Danio rerio: one gene and its partners. The protein of the gene in region 2 interacts with the protein of the main gene of each other region in a pairwise test. Links are inferred from orthologs where the notes say so. Each region holds a gene or a part of one and is shown on either strand. Other genes may lie near its edges.

Region 1 (4,054 bases), on a different chromosome or scaffold from region 2:
ATGTGTAAAAGCAAGCTAAATATAGCTGTGTACATGCACTTTTTATTCAACAAAATGTTCTTTAAAAAAAATAAATAAATAAATTTCATAAAAAAAAAAAAATTTATATATATATATATATATATATATATATATATATATATATATATATATATATATATATATATATATATATATATATATATATATATATATATATATATATATATATATATATTCTTCATCTAAAAATATACAAAGGAGTTTGTCCAGACTAAAAGTCCCTGACCATCAGGTAACTATAGATAAATGGACCGTTAATCTCCATCTCTCTGACAGAGACATGTTTGAGTATTTTTAAAATACTGTAAAATACTTGCTTACAAAAAAAAAAAAAACTTAGAAAGCATTTTACTATTTTGATAAACTTAATTTTTTTAATGGAAAGGTTGACATTTGCATGGAATTGGTGTTGTAGACTTGAAGATGATAGTTTAACATACCTGTTGAGGACCAGAGTGCTGAGCGCCTCTCCATCCACATCTTCCGCCACGATGACCAGAGGTTTGCGATGCTGGTTAGCAATTTCCAGAGCAGGAACAATACTCTGAACACTGGAGATCTTCTTCTCGCTCAGAAGCACATATGCATCCTGAAACTCACACTTCTGGCCTGCAGACAGAATCAACACGTTAGTCAGTCCAACATTAATAACATTGATAACAAATGACCTCCAAAAAAGTAATACGATACCTTTAGCGGTGTTGATGAAGTAAGGAGAAATGTAACCACGGTCAAACTTCATGCCCTCAATGATCTCAAGCTCATCATGAAGGGTTTTGCCATCCTTAAAAATAATAATTACATCCCGTGTGTGAGGTATTTTAAGGATAAAAACATAATTTGATCTGGATTAAACACTACTTTTTAGTAGCCTACCTTCACTGTAATGACACCCTTACGACCGACTTTCTTCATAGCATTGGAGATGATGTTACCAACTTCAGTGTCTCCATTGGCAGAAATAGTAGCCACCTACAAAGGATGATTCAAGGAAGCATACATAAATTGCACATTTACTTGTATCATTTTAAAGATATGTAAAAGATTAACATAGACAACAAAAAGACAAAAATAATAATTGTATTGATGTTTCCTATACAAACTTTGAAATACCTTAAAGGGGACTTATGCCTCTTTGTACAAGATAGAAAGTCTCTGATATCCCTAGAGTGTTTATGTGAAGTTTCAGCTCAAAACTCTACAAATAATGTTTTATAACATTTTAGGTTTTGATCCTAATCTAGTCATTTTGTGGACTGTCGCTTAAAATTCAAATGAGAATGGGTGAAGCTACAAATGCCTGTGTGTTAGCATAGTGGCAGATTCAAAAACAAGACTAAGGGCACACTCTCACTAGGCACAGTTGCCTTGAAAAATGTCGAAGTGCGGTTGTCCCCCTTCCCCCGACAGTTTGCACTCATGATACATCTTTCTTTACCTACTGATCCAGAGAACGCTTAAGTCATTGATGATGCGACTGTTCAGTTTAACATGTAAAAAGTGCTCTCGCTCAGCACAGTGGAGATTGCTTTAGTTATATCGTTTTAGCCATTTAGGATGCAGTGACATGCAGTCAATTATTTTGCCAAAAAGATCCACCACTTTTTACGCTTATAAAGTCCTCGTGCTGCACGTATTTGGAGGTTTGCTGAAGGAGCAGCGAGAGGTTTGAGTCTTTATTAAACTACAACATTTTGCAGAATGATTAACAAATCCATATGAAACAGTCTTCTAAAAGTGACACATCTTTAATTTCTTTAATTTCGAGCTCAGGCGCACCATTGTGCATACAGGGTTCTTGCACAGTTTTAAAAGTAAAATTTTATGCTTTTTAAGACCTTTTTAAGACCTCAACAAATATAATTTAAGACCCAAAAATTTTAGAATTTCTTCAGAGTAGGCTACTCATTTTAATGTTCTCGTTAGATTTAAATAAATTGTGCCTCGTCACAGTATGGATAACCCACACTACCTGCTTTTTGGGTGTCAGGTGGTGAAATTAAACTGTTATAGCTGACTGTGAGGGGGCGTCTGAACTAGAGCTGTAATCAGGATATAAAAGCTAGGCCCGATAGAGCCCGAACCCGACAAGTACATTTTGATTGACAGCTTTTAAAAGCCCGTACCCGTTTATAGCCCGACATTATCCAAATGTGCAAAGGCACACAGCTCTTTTGTCTTTTTTTATGAATGAGTTGTTTAAAAGGGTTAACATTACTTATTCATAACATAGGCTATAGGCCTAACATTAGTAACTAGTAACATTGTTAGGTCGAGCTGCAAACAATGCAGGGATTAACCTGGACCTGCTATGACAAGCTGCTGCAACGTCCCGCTGCTGCTTTCCTCCTTTCATGTGCGACTTGACAACTTTGAGCCCCATGGTCCCTAACGAAAAGGTCTTTTTGCAGAATTCACACATTGCCTTTTTGCCACGTCGTTAAATGTACAATTTTCCATCTTTGCATTTTGACACATCAACAACCGCATAATAACAGCACGCAGGTACAGACCGACGCAAGCGTCTGTACTCTGTAGCTGACCCACCGTAATAAGCTAATAAATCACGGAGACTGTCATTTCTCTCCTGTTTTACAAGTGCTAAATTAATCAACTATTAGATGTTTTACGGTGGACCACTGTGCTTCCCTATCGTCATTAAGCACACTGGCTGAAAATTTTATACCTACAGCCACTTTACGGTAAAATTAAAGACAATTTAAGACCTTAATTACCCGGATTTTAATTTAATACATACACTACAAGCGTAATGTGCCAAAGCCCAACCAAACAACACTCTGGCACACCTCTTAACCGCACTTTGGCCCGATTCGCAGCACTCACACTTGTCAAATGAACTGGGAAATGTGCCTGGGCATGGGCATGGTTCGGATAGCAGAGTGTGAGTAATCCCCAACGTCCAACGCTAATGAAGAAGAGATTGTCACTAATGGGTGAAACTCAAACTTTTATTATAACCTAACTTTTAATCTGATGTATTAAGAAACTGCATCAATGTAATGTAGTGTATTTTTTATTTAATGCCATGTCAGCAACCAAGGCTATTTTCATGGCAAAAAAATTCAATAATAAATATATTTAAAAACAAAAACGAACACACCAATTAAATGTGAATTTTAGTGTTAATACATGATCAAAATTTAAAAAATTTTCCTGGTGTCACTTTAAATGGATCAATATGAGGCTGATATTATATTACAGAACTTTCCATTTAATGCCACTTTTTACCTGAGCGATTTCCTCTGGAGTCGTGACGGGCTTTGAGTTTTTCTTGAGTTCACTGATGACCTCTTCTACGGCCATCATGACTCCTCTACGGATCTCAACTGGGTTTGCCCCCTTGCTGATGGTGTCGAAGCCCTCTTTGGCGACAGCCCGGGCCAGAACTGTAGCGGTGGTGGTGCCGTCTCCAGCCTCCTCATTAGTGTTGTTGGCCACATCCTGAACCAGCTTGGCTCCGATATTTTTATACCTGTCCTTCAGATCAATACTTTTAGCAACTGTGACCCCATCTTTGGTAACTTTAGGGCTTCCCCAGCTCTGCTCAATGATGACGGTGCGACCCTGAAAGACAGAGAGAGGGAAATCTAGTAGCTTTTCTTCCATCAATGATTAAAAACGTGATTTAGAAAGGATGGTGGTTTTGTTTGACTGGCGACTTATTAATCCCAGCACACCTTTGGCCCCATGGTGACGGCCACTGCATCAGCCAGCAGGTCAACACCCTGGAGCATGAGGGCCCGGGCATCTGCTCCAAACTTCACATCCTTTGCATATGCACGGGTCAGGTGAGGGGCCAGAGCCCTGCACACAGGCCTCATCTGTCTCATGACACTGGGTAAACGCAGCATTTCTATCAGAGAGTGAGAGAGAGAGAGAAAGATTATTATTGTTGTTGTTGTTGTTGTTTTTATTACTGTTTTATCCTAAAATGTTGATTGTTAAAATGTACAGTTTATTCTGATCAATTATGTTTATAATTGAATTGTAT
Region 2 (4,819 bases):
AAAGACCCTCACACACACATTTATATCTGCAGATCAACAATAATGACGCAAAGACCCTCACACACACATTTATATCTGCACACCAACATTAATGACGCAAAGACCCTCACACACACATTTATATCTGCAGACCAACATTAATGACACAAAGACCCTCACACACACATTTATATCTGCAGATCAACATTAATGACAAAGACCCTCACACACACATTTATATCTGCAGACCAACATTAATGACGCAAAGACCCTCACACACACATTTATATCTGCAGACCAACATTAATGACAAAGACCCTCACACACACATTTATATCTGCAGACCAACATTAATGACGCAAAGACCCTCACACACACATTTATATCTGCACACCAACATTAATGACGCAAAGACCCTCACACACACATTTATATCTGCAGACCAACATTACTGACACAAAGACCCTCACACACACATTTATATCTGCAGACCAACATTAATGACACAAAGACCCTCACACACACATTTATATCTGCAGACCAACATTAATGACGCAAAGACCCTCACACACACATTTATATCTGCAGACCAACATTAATGACAAAGACCCTCACACACACATTTATATCTGCAGACCAACATTAATGACGCAAAGACCCTCACACACACATTTATATCTGCACACCAACATTAATGACGCAAAGACCCTCACACACACATTTATATCTGCAGACCAACATTACTGACACAAAGACCCTCACACACACATTTATATCTGCAGACCAACATTAATGACACAAAGACCCTCACACACACATTTATATCTGCAGACCAACATTAATGACACAAAGACCCTCACACACACACATTTATATCTGCAGACCAACATTAATGACGCAAAGACCCTCACACACACATTTATATCTGCAGACCAACATTAATGACGCAAAGACCCTCACACACACATTTATATCTGCACACCAACATTAATGACACAAAGACCCTCACACACACATTTATATCTGCAGACCAACATTAATGACACAAAGACCCTCACACACACATTTATATCTGCAGACCAACATTAATGACGCAAAGACCCTCACACACACATTTATATCTGCAGACCAACATTAATGACGCAAAGACCCTCACACACACATTTATATCTGCAGACCAACATTAATGACACAAAGACCCTCACACACACATTTATATCTGCAGACCAACAGTAATGACACAAAGACCCTCACACACACATTTATATCTGCAGACCAACATTAATGACGCAAAGACCCTCACACACACATTTATATCTGCACACCAACATTAATGACACTAAGACCCTCACACACACATTTACATCTGCAGACCAACATTAATGACACAAAGACCCTCACACACACATTTACATCTGCAGACCAACATTAATGACGCAAAGACCCTCACACACACATTTATATCTGCACACCAACATTAATGACACTAAGACCCTCACACACACATTTACATCTGCAGACCAACATTAATGACACAAAGACCCTCACACACACATTTACATCTGCAGACCAACATTAATGACACAAAGATCCTCACACACACATTTATATCTGCAGATCAACATTAATGACACAAAGACCCTCACACACACATTTACATCTGCAGATCAACATTAATGACACAAAGACCCTCACACACACATTTATAGTAAATAGTGGGTAGAATGATCGCCTCACAGCAAGAAGGTCGCTGGTTCGAGTTCCGGTTGGGTCAGTTGGTGTTTCTGTGTGGAGTTTGCATGTTCTCCCCGTGTTGGCGTGGGTTTCCTCCGGGTGCTCCGGTTTTCCCCACAGTCCAAACACATGCGCTATAGGGGAGTTGATCAACTAAATTGGCCATAGTGTGTGTGAATGAGTGTGTATGGGTGTTTCCCATAGATGGGAAGAGCATCCGCTGTGTAAAACGTGCTGGATAAGTTGCCGTTTCATTCTGCTGTGGTGACCCCAGATGAATAAAGGGACTAAGCTGAAAAACAATGCATGACTGACTGAACATCCCTCAGACATTTTGCATGCATGTGAGTGTGTGCGTGTGTACTGGTTTTGGTGGTTTGCAAGGACATGTCTGTGTCTAGTGACATAGGCATGATGACTTACGACATAAAGTGGGTTTATGAGAACATGCCTGTGTCACAAAGGAGGGTTAGGGTTAGGGGTAGTGATGAGGTAAAGCAATAAGATATTTTTACTGTATATGCTACACTATGCCTATGGAGAGTCCTCATAAACCACCAAAACTAACAACATGTGTGTTTTATGTGTGTGTTTCTGCACATGTATGCTACACACACACACACACACAGCTCCTCTACAGGTCACTGCGGTACAAGCATCATCTTTCCATGCATGTGAGCCTGAGTCATGTTACCTGCTAAGAGCATGCGCGAGTGTGTGTGTGTGTGAGTGTATGCGTGTGTGTGTGTGTGTGTGATCTACAGGCCGCATTGTGAAAGTAGGTTGGAATAGTGCACTGCGGGTCAGCATACACACGCACACACACACACATGTAGATCAGTGACGTGTGTGAGATGACAGTGGGAAATCTGCTGTTGATTCCTGACATGCAGAAGAGATAGAGAGATGGTGAATGGATGAACATATGGATGGATGGATGGATGGATGGATGGATGGATGGATGAACTGATGGATGAACTGATGGATGAACTGATGGATGGATGAACTGATGGATGGACACAGTACAGAAGAGTAATCTGTGTTGATTTACCATGGTCTTCAGTCCAGGACGTGCAGCTTCACTGCGGAGATGTTTGAGAGGGCCATGTCTCTCTCTCTCTCTCCCTCTATCTCTCTCTCTATCTGTCGGTCATGGTTTACAGCCGAGAGGGTTTCAGCTGTGTTTTCTCTCCCGCATCTCTGCGTCGTCTGTTCCTCGCGGATCTCTCGTCTCCTGAACGTGTGTTTGTGTGTTTCGACGCGGCTGCGGAGCAGATGAGCTGAGGGGGAGGGGAGTTCAGCCGAGCATGCGTCACACACACACATACAGAGAGAGAGAGAGAGAGAGAGAGAGAGAGAGAGAGAGAGAGAGAGAGAGAGAGAGAGAGAGAGAGAGAGAGAGAGAGAAATAATCTGTGTGTGCTTTATTGGGTTTGTTCAAGGACGCATGATTGGTGTTTGTATGTGTGTGTGTGTGTGTGTGTGCGTGCATTTTCATTTTCAAAGAAATAAAACATTATTAATAGTAATGTGTGTGTGTGTGTGTGTGTGTGTGTGTATGTGTGTGTGTGCGTGCATTTTTATTTTCGAAGAAATAAAACATTATTAATGGTAATGTGTGTGTGTGTGTGTGTGTGTGGAAGGGGTTGTTCCCAAACACACTGCAGGGGCTGATGGGAAATGCTGACGTCAGTCTCATAGCAACACGCTTCACAACAACTGGGTCACTGTGTTGCAGAACAGCACCTGCTGCAGACGGGCATGATCCGCACACGCGCGTGTGTGTGTGTGTGTGTGTGTGATGCTGCAGATCTTCTTGCTTGCAGGAATATTCCAGAGCCCCTGATCTGGAAAACTGTTTCTGTGTCAGGATTGTTCTGGCTTCATTTCACAATTCCCACTTTTTTTTTTTCTTGGAATTTTAAGTTTGCATTTGGGATAATTTACTTTTTCTTGGAATTATAAATTAAATCTGGGAATGCCGACTTTTGCCTGGGAATTCTAGGTTTAAAACTGTAAGTCCTGACCTTTCTCTTGGAATATTTACTTTTTTGTGAATTCTGGGTTTAAAACTCACAATTTCGGCATTGTTTCCTTGAATGCCGAGTCTGCATCTTACAATACGGACTTTTTTTTCTTGGAATTCTGAATTTGCATCCTGGGATGCTGACCTTTTCCCCCCGGGAATTTTGAGTTTTGACTTATTTTCTTGGAATTCTGATTTACTGAATTTCTACTAGGAACTCAAAGTTTGCATCTTGGATTAGGGACTTTTTGCCATAGAATTCTAAGTTCACACAATTTCGACATTTTATCTTTGCATTCTGGGTTTGCGTCTTGGAAGCATCAACTTTTTATGGCCCGGAACTCTGAATTTGCATCTTGGAATACTTTCTGTTTCTTCGAATTCTGATTTTTTTTCAAGGTGTTTTTAGGTTTGCATCTTGGAATTTGTACTTTTTTCTTGGAATTCTTAGTTTATATGTTGAAATAGTTTCCATCTGGGATCGTGGAGTTTTTTTTTCCTGGGAGTTACAAGCTTTGAACACAATTCTGATATTTTATTTTGGAATTTCAGGTTAGCATTGTGGAATACTGACATTTTTCTTGCAATTCTAAATTTGCATCTTGGAATGTTGTCTTCTTCCTGGAATTCTGTTTTTTTCATGGAATTTTGAGTTTGAATCTTGGAATATTCACTTTTTTCCTTTGGTTTTTAGAGTTGAAAACTCCAAATCTTGACTTCTTTTCTTGGAATTTTGAGTTTGCATCTTGGAATACTGCCTTTTTTGTTGTGGTTTTCCACGTTTTCTCTTTTTTCCTGGGAATTTCATGCTTAAAACTAACAATTCTTGTATTTTTCTTGGAATTTCGAATTAGCATCTTGGATTTCTGATATTTTTCTTCTTCTGATATTCTTCTGCATCTTGGAATGCTGACTTTTTTTTCCTGGAATTCTGTTATTGTTAAGGAATTTTCAGTTTGATTCTTGGAATTTTCACTTTTTTCTTGGAATTTTTAGTTCAAAACTCCAACTTTTGACTTCATTTCTTGGAATTCCTACTTTTTCTCTTGGAACTCAAAGTTTGCATCTTGGAATACTTTG
Region 3 (4,054 bases), on a different chromosome or scaffold from region 2:
TGGAGAGCAGGCTGTCGCCCTCCACACTCAAGGTTACGTGGCTGCCATCTCCGCTCTCATAACGCGGTGGCTGGCAGCACCGTGGGAACGCATAACCTCATCATCCGGTTCCTCAGGGGCGTTAAGCGAATTAATCCACCCCGCCCCCTCTCATGCCCTCTTAGGATCTCGCCCTCGCTACACAAGCCGCGTCAGATCCCTTCGATCCTCGACTCAGTATATTTCTGTCCCTGAAGACAGCTCTGCTGGTCGCGTTGATATCGATTAGAGGGTCGGGGACCCGGAGGCATTTTTCGGTCAGTGACTCGTGCCTGTAATTGGGCTGGCTTCTCTCACGTTCTGAGACCCCGCCCACGATATGTGCCCAAGGTTCCTACCACTCCGTTTTAATACGAGGTAGTGAGCCTGCAAGCGCTGCCCTCGGAGGAGGCAGACCCAGCCCTTCTTTATTGTCCAGTTCGCGTTTTGCGTATTATCCGGACCGCACTCAGAGTTTAGATCATCTGAGCAGCTCTTCGTCTGTTATAGCGGTCGGCAGCAGGGAAGTGCCGTACCGAAATAAGTTCCCACTAGATTGTGGATGCCTTTCTTTCACTATCAGAGCCGAGATGAGCCGCGTCCCCCGAGAGCGCGTGCGCACTCCGCTCGGAGCTTCGCATCCTCTCGAGCGCGCGCACACGGCGCCCCTCTAACAGACATCTGTAGAGCTGCGGGCTGGGTGACACCCAACACATTTGCAAGGTTTTACAATCTGCGAGTGGAGCCGGTTTCCTCAAGGGTATTAGGTAACCCTTGGTGATTGAGGAAACAATTCGGTAGGGTGTTGAAACACGCTTGCTGCGCCATTTTCCCTAACACGGAGATACGTGCGCCTTTTTATCTGTCAGTAAAGTTCCCCGTCAGGTGAGCCCTGCAGATTCCTCCGTGGCCCCCAGCACTGACTCAGCGGAGGAGTCACTTGCTGGCCCAATACGTTGTAGGTCTGCCCGCTGGTCAGCCCGCGTTTTGGGTAAAGGTGCCTGCTATGCGTGGTCCCCACTAGGCGATCCCATATGCTTATTCAGCCACGGTTAAGTCCCCCCCCCCCCCTGGGCGGACCCGTGTCTTCCCTCCCCGCTAACCACTCTTTTGCTATGCGTACTCCCCCTTTTTAGGGCTAGTCCATATGTAAATTCTGCCATCTATCCCCCCTTGGGTAACGGATGGCCTCCGCAGCGTCCTCCCTATCGGGATTGCACGCTTCCCAACGTACTGTCGTATTTTTCTAGAATTATCTAGATGCTCACGACTTCCCAAAAAATATATATAAATCCGTAAAACTTCTGTTGAAGTAGGATAAATTAGGGCCAGGGACACGTTGGAGGACCGCGCCCCCCATGATGTGGGTGCGTCACGCTTGCTTGACTATCTCCTCATCGGGGGTGTTGGTAAGGTGCAGTCATTATGGCGCTTTCAATGGGCTCCCAATGCGTGGATTTTACAATCAAATCCACTTATAGTGCTGAAGTTCCCCCCGAAGGGGAACGTTCGAGGTTACTACAGTAACCCTTCGTTCCCCGAGGAGGGGAACGGAAGCACTATACTCCGTCGCCATAATGACTGTCCCTTAGCTGTTGAAAGTCTCTTCAGCTTAAAAAGGATAGCGTCTGCTGGCGCCAGGTGAGCTTATATACTCAGTTGATTGCTTATGCCGCTCACCTGCGCAGGCTTGCGCTGCCAATTCATTCTTAATTGGCCCGTTCAATACTCTTTCAGACGAGTAGCTTCTGAACCGAACCTCCCAATGCGTGGATTTTACAATCAAATCCACTTATAGTGCTTCCGTTCCCCTCCTCGGGGAACGAAGGGTTACTTTAGTAACCTCGAACGTTCTCTGCTGTGCCTCATCCAAGGCCTTCGACAACTACAGCCTGTCTTGGTCATCCCTGTTCTGTCTCCTAGCCAGTAGCCATCTGTTACTGTATTCCATGTCATTCAGACTGTTTGCCATATAACTCCTGTTTTTCCTTTTATCTGTCAATCAGTGGCTGTTATACACCCCATATACCCCCCCCCACACACACACTCACATCCCCCTAGAAAAAAAGAAGACACTTTGTAGTTGACTTTTTTCTAAAACGAATTGTCTCAAACAAACAATTCAGACAGCATACAAACTGAAATTTGACTAGTATTTCCCTAAATCTGCACCTTTCTTTTGTTGCAGCAAAGTCATCAATTATATTGTCATGTACCCATTTAAAGTGGACATAAAGCTCTACTGAGGCATGGCTCCTATTGTCTTTATTCCGAGATTACCACTCTTAATTAATACATTTGCATAAAGTAATTCATATCTTAAAGCTATTACTGTGGCACGTTTTTTTTTCACTGTCTCTGTTTCGCACCCAGTAAGATGTCGCCCTGGGTGATCGCCCATATCTAAATCTGCCACTGCTGTCAATAAAACCCCCTTAACCTACATTTCGTGTTTGGGATCTCCTTCAGGATCCTTGACAATCATGCATGTTATAGTATGTGTACCTGTGTATCCCTGCTGAACATCTCAATGCCTCTGTCTGGCCTCTTCTTGGGCACCGTCTGTATAGCAGCATGGTGATACTCTGCGTTGGTCAACTTGTGACGGTATCCTCCCAGAAAAGCCTTCCCCTGAGTGGCTCTCTCAATCTCTACCACCACATCCTGGTATGTGTCTGCTTCTTAAAGTGAGAAAACTTGTCACAAATGCTTGTCTATAGGTTTTAAATAAGCAAAATTCTGGTAAAATAAGCCAAATACGTTTGTAGCATCAAATCTCATTCAGTCTTTGCACAATGACAGATTTTGCATTGTTGCTTCTACAATCTTTTTATTAGTATCACATACTCTTAAAAATGATCAGATGCATGTATAAGATACAATAGGGTACCAAAGCAATTTTAAGCTTACCAACAAAACAGTGGTTTATGAACAATGTTTTGACATGTTTTTTTTTCTTCAAATAAACAGTTTAATAAAAAAATAAACTTTAATTTTAAAAGCGACCATGGTAGGTTAAAATGGTTGTTTAATCTAATATGAGCAAGAGTTTTCAACTGTACTGCACACATGTTTATACACATTTTGGGGATGAAATAAGTTCATGCAGGCCTATTTTTTCATTCAAAATGTTTAACAACCATTTTAATTATTTCACCAATGCACATAAACACACACCTATACAGTTTTATGCAAAAATTTGGTCACCCCTCTGTGGCTGCATAATTATTTGCTCTTTAAAGAGAAGATCACAGTGAAATGTCATTCGGTTTCTAGTGAAAGCTAGATAATGTCATGTTTTTCCGACAGAAATATGTAGGGTAGCAGTATTGAAATGTGTGAAATAAATTGAAACTGAAAAAATGTGCAGGTACTGGAAACCTTGTCAGAGTTAAAGGTCGCATGGATTTCCCCCAGTATCAGCTGAATCTAAAGAATAATTTTCAGAAATCAATCAAGAGGCTGAAGTTACTCCACGGCTGGATGTTTCAAGCAGGACAATGATTCAAAGCACAGTTCCAGATCTGCTAAGGAATTCATGTTCAGACATGACACAATGTTCTAGAGGAGCTATCCCAGTTCCCAGACTTGAACATCATCGAAAAATCTATGGATTGATTTGAAAAGGGCCTTTCATGCTTGGCACCTATCAAACCTGACTGAACTTGAGAAGTTTTTCCAGGAAAAGTGGTCCAAAATGCCTTCAGCAAGAATTCCGGGACTTATCCTTGACTATAAGAAATGTCAACAGGCTTTTATTTCAGCAAAAGGTGGCTGTACAAAACATTGATGTCATTATTCTGTTGAGGTGCCCAAATTGTTGCACCTGTCTGTTTTTGTTATGATTTAAACTAGATGGCATCTGTTGAAAGGATAAATGTTATGTCAGAACTGAAAAGTTGCTTTTTTCATTAAGGTATAAAATTTATCCAAATGAAATAGCTGATTTAAAAGGCCAGCAGGATGAGGCTTGCAATCATTTGCAATAATGATTTCATTCATAACTGCATTGCAGTTGTTTAAAGAAATATTTGTT
Region 4 (4,700 bases), on a different chromosome or scaffold from region 2:
ATACGAAAGGAAGAAAAAAATTGCTTTATAAAATTTACAGTTTATGTAAAAAAAATACAGACACAGAATTTCTGCAGTACAGACTTTTTTTGCAGAAGGACATCACTGCAAACAGGAAAAGCACCACAACTATAATAAAATAACAAAGTAATCTTCTATACTTCCCGGTCTTTTGCCACAAGTTCTCATCCACATTATACTTGATATCTTCTGTGGCCCGGCACGGTAACTGTGGCCCTTTGGCCTATTATGTTTTTCCTACGGCGACATCCCCAGCCTTGTCAACATTGAAAATTTCATGTGGTACTTGATTGGCCTCTAACTTCATGACTCTCTGAAAGTAATTAGACACAGTGTATGCAAATGCTGTACTGTATATGTACTGTATGTACTAATGAACTCCATATATATATATATATGAGAGAGACTCATATTGCGGTTATATATATATATATTTAAAAAATAAATAAATATATATATATATATATATATATATATATATATATATATATATTTATTTATTTATATAACCGCAATATGCTGTTTCTCATTGGCAATTGAATAAAATAAAGGGAATAAACTTGTGTTTCAATTCACAATTAGAACAGCTGTTCACTTTGACTTTATCCTATATAATTTCTGTTTAGAACATGGTGTTATCTGTTCTGACATACTGTGTTAAAGCATTTGTAAATTTGACTGTAAAATTACATTGTTTTCTTGGTTGTGCTTGTGTGTAAAAGAAGTTAAAGCATTTTAAATTTGTGTTAACTGGATGCATTTTGTGTCAAAACAACAATAAATGTGTTAATTGTATAGCCCACGAAGACGGATGTTGTGCTAACTGTGTTAAGAGTTTAGGAAACTTGTTAAATGTATTGATAAAAGTGTCATAGCAATTGTAAAAAACTGTAATAAAGTCTGCATTTTGTGTGTAAATCAGTGGTGTGCCTTCTTTACTACAGACAAACTCAAGCACTGTCTGCCATTTCACTATACGAGGACATTAACTTCATCTGCTATGCTCCAAGAGCCACTTCAAAAGCATTATAACATTTTATGAAAAAAACTATAATAATAATAATAATAATACAATGTAAAAAAATAATGTATGCAGAATTTCACAGAATTTCAAATTCAGAATATTAAAATGCAAAAACAGTCAGAATCATGGTAAAAGCTCATTTGGAAAAATGAATAATTAAGCAAATATATCTGAAATTTGCCTTTATAGCTTTAGTGTTACAATTCATATAATGTGAATTTAATACACAGGTATAAAACAAACAGTGAACTCACTAAGCTCGTTGTCTATTTCCACCGTCAGATTGTTGGCGGCAACAATGAGCCTGTACTCTGGGTCTGCTTCAACCGGTCCAGACACTGAAAAAAGAGGAAATACCATGTTAAAAAAAGTTTCACTTGTGCCTAAAACTGTTTAAATTCATTTCTTTGGTTGAACATAAAACCTGTAACCCTTGACTTCCATAGTGTTTGCTTTTAATAAAGATGTTAATGGTTAAAGTTTTCAAATTTATCATCAAAATATTTACATTTTTTGTATTCAACAAAATAAAACAAAACAAAAACCTCATTGAACCATTGAGGGTGAGCAGATTTTAATACCTAATTTCACCATCCCTTTTAAACAACGTTAATTAAAATTAGTATTCTCTATATGTATTAGACATGGTCTTCTACAGTTTAAGGGGCTTCATAGTCTTCACCTATCAAGGAGTAAGCTGGCAAAAATGTATTCAGGGTCAGATTCATCTTGCTCCAGATGTGGTTTGAAGCCAGCAGATCTGAGTTGTATGTTCTGTGGATGACCTAGATTATCTCAATTCTGGACCAATATTTTAGATCATTTTCATCTATGTCACAATGATATGGATCCTGATTCTTTGACTTAATTTTTTAAGTTAAAATAAATGTTCACCAGCACGCTTTACAAAAAAAAAAAAAAAAAGTTACTACTTATCTTCATTGATGTAAAGTTAGTTTTATATTTGCACATTCTGACTCTCACCCTCTTAATGCAATTTCAGGGAAGTATTTTACAAATTCTAAATAGAGAAATCATATCAGGAGCCCATGACTATGAAAATACAACATTGTGCAGTCAAACAGTAGAACTAATGTTGTTTTGAAGTCTGAATATTTAGCCTGAATTGGATTTCAGAAATAATATCCAAAGTAGCGTGACAAACAATGCAGGGACCTTGTCACAAGTAGTTACTTTGTGTTTAAATTATTACGTCATTATAAATAGTCTGTATTAGGCTTTTAAAATCTGCTTTAGTATTTTATTGAACACCAAAGTCTGAATGTGTGAATAAAAACAACCTCAACGTTACCTTCTGAATTCTTGCGTTGATTTCCAACATAGTGACTGATTTTATCCATGATTTCAGCGAACTGCAACATATCAACAAGTCTGCAATAAGTTAGGTTCTAAAAATAGATCTGAAATGAAGCTGTGTGTGAGTTATTGATGTCAGAAACTGACCGGTTTGCTGTGTCGTAGTTTAGCTATGGACGTGACGCTCTCCGTGCTGCTGTAATCCACCTCCATCTCCTCCGGGATGTCCTCCAGTCCTCCATCAACTTGTCTTTCTCCGGGCTCTCCATCACTCTCTCCCTCTTCTCCGCCGGGATACAGCCCGTCCTCTTCTCCTGCCTCCTCCAAATCCGCAAGCAGCTCGTCTGCCAAAGACATCTACGAAGACAGTGAGAAAATAAATCACAACTAGACAATAAACACTGCTGTTTGATAATCGCAATCTTTAAGAAAGTGTTCAAGGTAAAATCAGACCAAACTTACAACTCAACCCGCCTGTTTTCTTCTCACTTTATGGAAAGAACAGAAGCCAACATGCAACGACTTACAAACGCCAAACAACGATCTGCAGTCGCACAGTAAATACGTCACATGTTTCACAGCAAAGGCTTCTGGGAAATGTGTTCAGGAAGATTCGAAATAAAAAAGTCCATGACCTATTTGTTTTTTTTTTGCTCCTTGTACACATTTTGGACATGAAAGAAGTTAAATTTTGAATGATTAACAATAATTTGGATGCATGGATTTGTTTAAGGTATATAGGTTCATTCCACTATGGTGTCGAAGGCAAATGAATTAATAAATGAAGTTTGTAAACTTCATTCTTTCATTCATTCATTTTTCCTTTGACATAGTCCCTTTATTCATCTGAGGGCACCACAGTGGCACCACACCACCAACTTATCCAGCATATGTTTTACGCAGCCGCAACCCAACATCAGGGAACACCCACACACTTTCATTCACACACATACACTACAGCCAAGTTAGGCTACCCAATTCAACTGTGCCGCATGTATTTGGGGGAAACCGTTACCGGAGCACCCAGAGGAAACCCACGCCTACATGGGGAGAACATGTAAACTCCACACAGAAATGCCAACTGACCCAGCCGAGGTGACAGCATTACCCTCTCCGCCATATCGCTCCAATAGTCTCCATCGCTCTAATGAATTATTGTGCTCTAAAACCAGGCCTTTCAGTCTCATTGTCCAACTGTAGATGTGTAATACTTTTATTTTAAAACGAATTTGTATAATATTTGAATAATATTGACATTCACAGTGCACTGTTACTGTTCATCTGCTAGACAAATCAGTTTTTAGATCAATCACAGCCCTACACATGCAAAACTGTGCGGTTATACTTAGTAATTTTGTAAACTGAGTTTAAAAAGTGTGAGTTTAAGAGTTCAATTATTTTTCTAATATTAGTCTAACGTTTCTCTACATTAACACTGATTTGGTCATTTCCACCACAGCTGTCATTTCCATCACCACACATATTTAAAAAAAAAATTTAAGTTCTTATCACACTTTAAAAATGAATTCACAATTTATGAGCTCATGCTCTATTTAATACAAATTCATTTATTTTGTAATAAGCTTTTAATCAAATTAAATTTTAGAGTGTGACAGGTGTACAATTCAGCATTTGGTCCTAAGAGACTCATTTATTTAATTGACAAATGTATAATTATTGTACACATTATGGAAAGATTGGTTAAACTGGATATAAAAAGGATCTCAGACAACTTTTTACTGCCATAATTGATTTCATTTTGAAATAAAAGCTGTATATTGAGATGTGATGGAAATGACGTTTGCTCATTTTATGATGGAAAAAATGTTAAATATAAACAATCTCTCTTCTTATCTAAGTTTGTGCTCTTACACATCTTAAAACTAGACAAATTGTTTAAACTTGAGGCCAGGATTTGTTAATTTTTACTCAACTTCACAAGACTAAAAGTGCCCGTAGTTGAAAAGTTTCCCAAATACACATTACATTACATTGCTGAAAAGCCTGACATCAACCTAAATTCTTTTATTTGGTTATTATATTAATATTTGTGTGTGTGTGTGTGTCTGTAAAAAATAAATAACAGAATAATAAAGATGTTATGAACATAGCATATAAATTGTGAATTAAATTGTGCTTCAAAAAAAAGATTTAATAGATATTTTGATTTTAAATAATATTATAAAAACGTTATAATACAACTAGAACACGTTATTTTAGTAAAATTGTGAAACATGAGCTAAACATACATGCACTATTTTATATATTACAATGCAAGGTGACAACAATGATATTATAAGACAGAACAATTTATTGTCATCAAACAGTTCAATAAATG

What was found.
Region 1: the proteins of tmcc2 (region 2) and hspd1 interact in a two-hybrid assay, tested with the Homo sapiens proteins (2 studies listed by BioGRID). The two-hybrid records come from large-scale screens. The link is inferred for Danio rerio from reciprocal best matches to the Homo sapiens genes TMCC2 and HSPD1.
Region 3: the proteins of tmcc2 (region 2) and iqub interact in a two-hybrid assay, tested with the Homo sapiens proteins (2 studies listed by BioGRID and IntAct). The two-hybrid records come from large-scale screens. The link is inferred for Danio rerio from reciprocal best matches to the Homo sapiens genes TMCC2 and IQUB.
Region 4: the proteins of tmcc2 (region 2) and prpf31 interact in a two-hybrid assay, tested with the Homo sapiens proteins (2 studies listed by BioGRID). The two-hybrid records come from large-scale screens. The link is inferred for Danio rerio from reciprocal best matches to the Homo sapiens genes TMCC2 and PRPF31.

The regions. Positions count from the first base shown.
Region 1 is NC_133184.1:33,974,086-33,978,139, forward strand, and holds part of hspd1 (60 kDa heat shock protein, mitochondrial), read right to left. Parts: intron 3,917-4,054; 5' UTR 3,915-3,916; coding exon 3,741-3,914; intron 3,628-3,740; coding exon 3,292-3,627; intron 1,015-3,291; coding exon 919-1,014; intron 827-918; coding exon 733-826; intron 652-732; coding exon 483-651; intron 1-482. UniProt on the Homo sapiens protein: Chaperonin implicated in mitochondrial protein import and macromolecular assembly. Together with Hsp10, facilitates the correct folding of imported proteins.
Region 2 is NC_133197.1:615,199-620,017, forward strand, and holds the start of tmcc2 (transmembrane and coiled-coil domains protein 2), read right to left. Parts: upstream 2,948-4,819; 5' UTR 2,768-2,947; coding exon 2,765-2,767; intron 1-2,764.
Region 3 is NC_133200.1:30,227,263-30,231,316, reverse strand, and holds part of iqub (IQ motif and ubiquitin-like domain-containing protein), read right to left. Parts: intron 2,700-4,054; coding exon 2,524-2,699; intron 1-2,523. UniProt on the Homo sapiens protein: Adapter protein that anchors the radial spoke 1 (RS1) complex to the A microtubule of outer doublet microtubules in axonemes. The triple radial spokes (RS1, RS2 and RS3) are required to modulate beating of the sperm flagellum.
Region 4 is NC_133191.1:35,273,490-35,278,189, reverse strand, and holds the start of prpf31 (U4/U6 small nuclear ribonucleoprotein Prp31), read right to left. Parts: upstream 2,930-4,700; 5' UTR 2,825-2,929; intron 2,720-2,824; coding exon 2,510-2,719; intron 2,419-2,509; coding exon 2,358-2,418; intron 1,384-2,357; coding exon 1,300-1,383; intron 1-1,299. UniProt on the Homo sapiens protein: Involved in pre-mRNA splicing as component of the spliceosome. Required for the assembly of the U4/U5/U6 tri-snRNP complex, one of the building blocks of the spliceosome.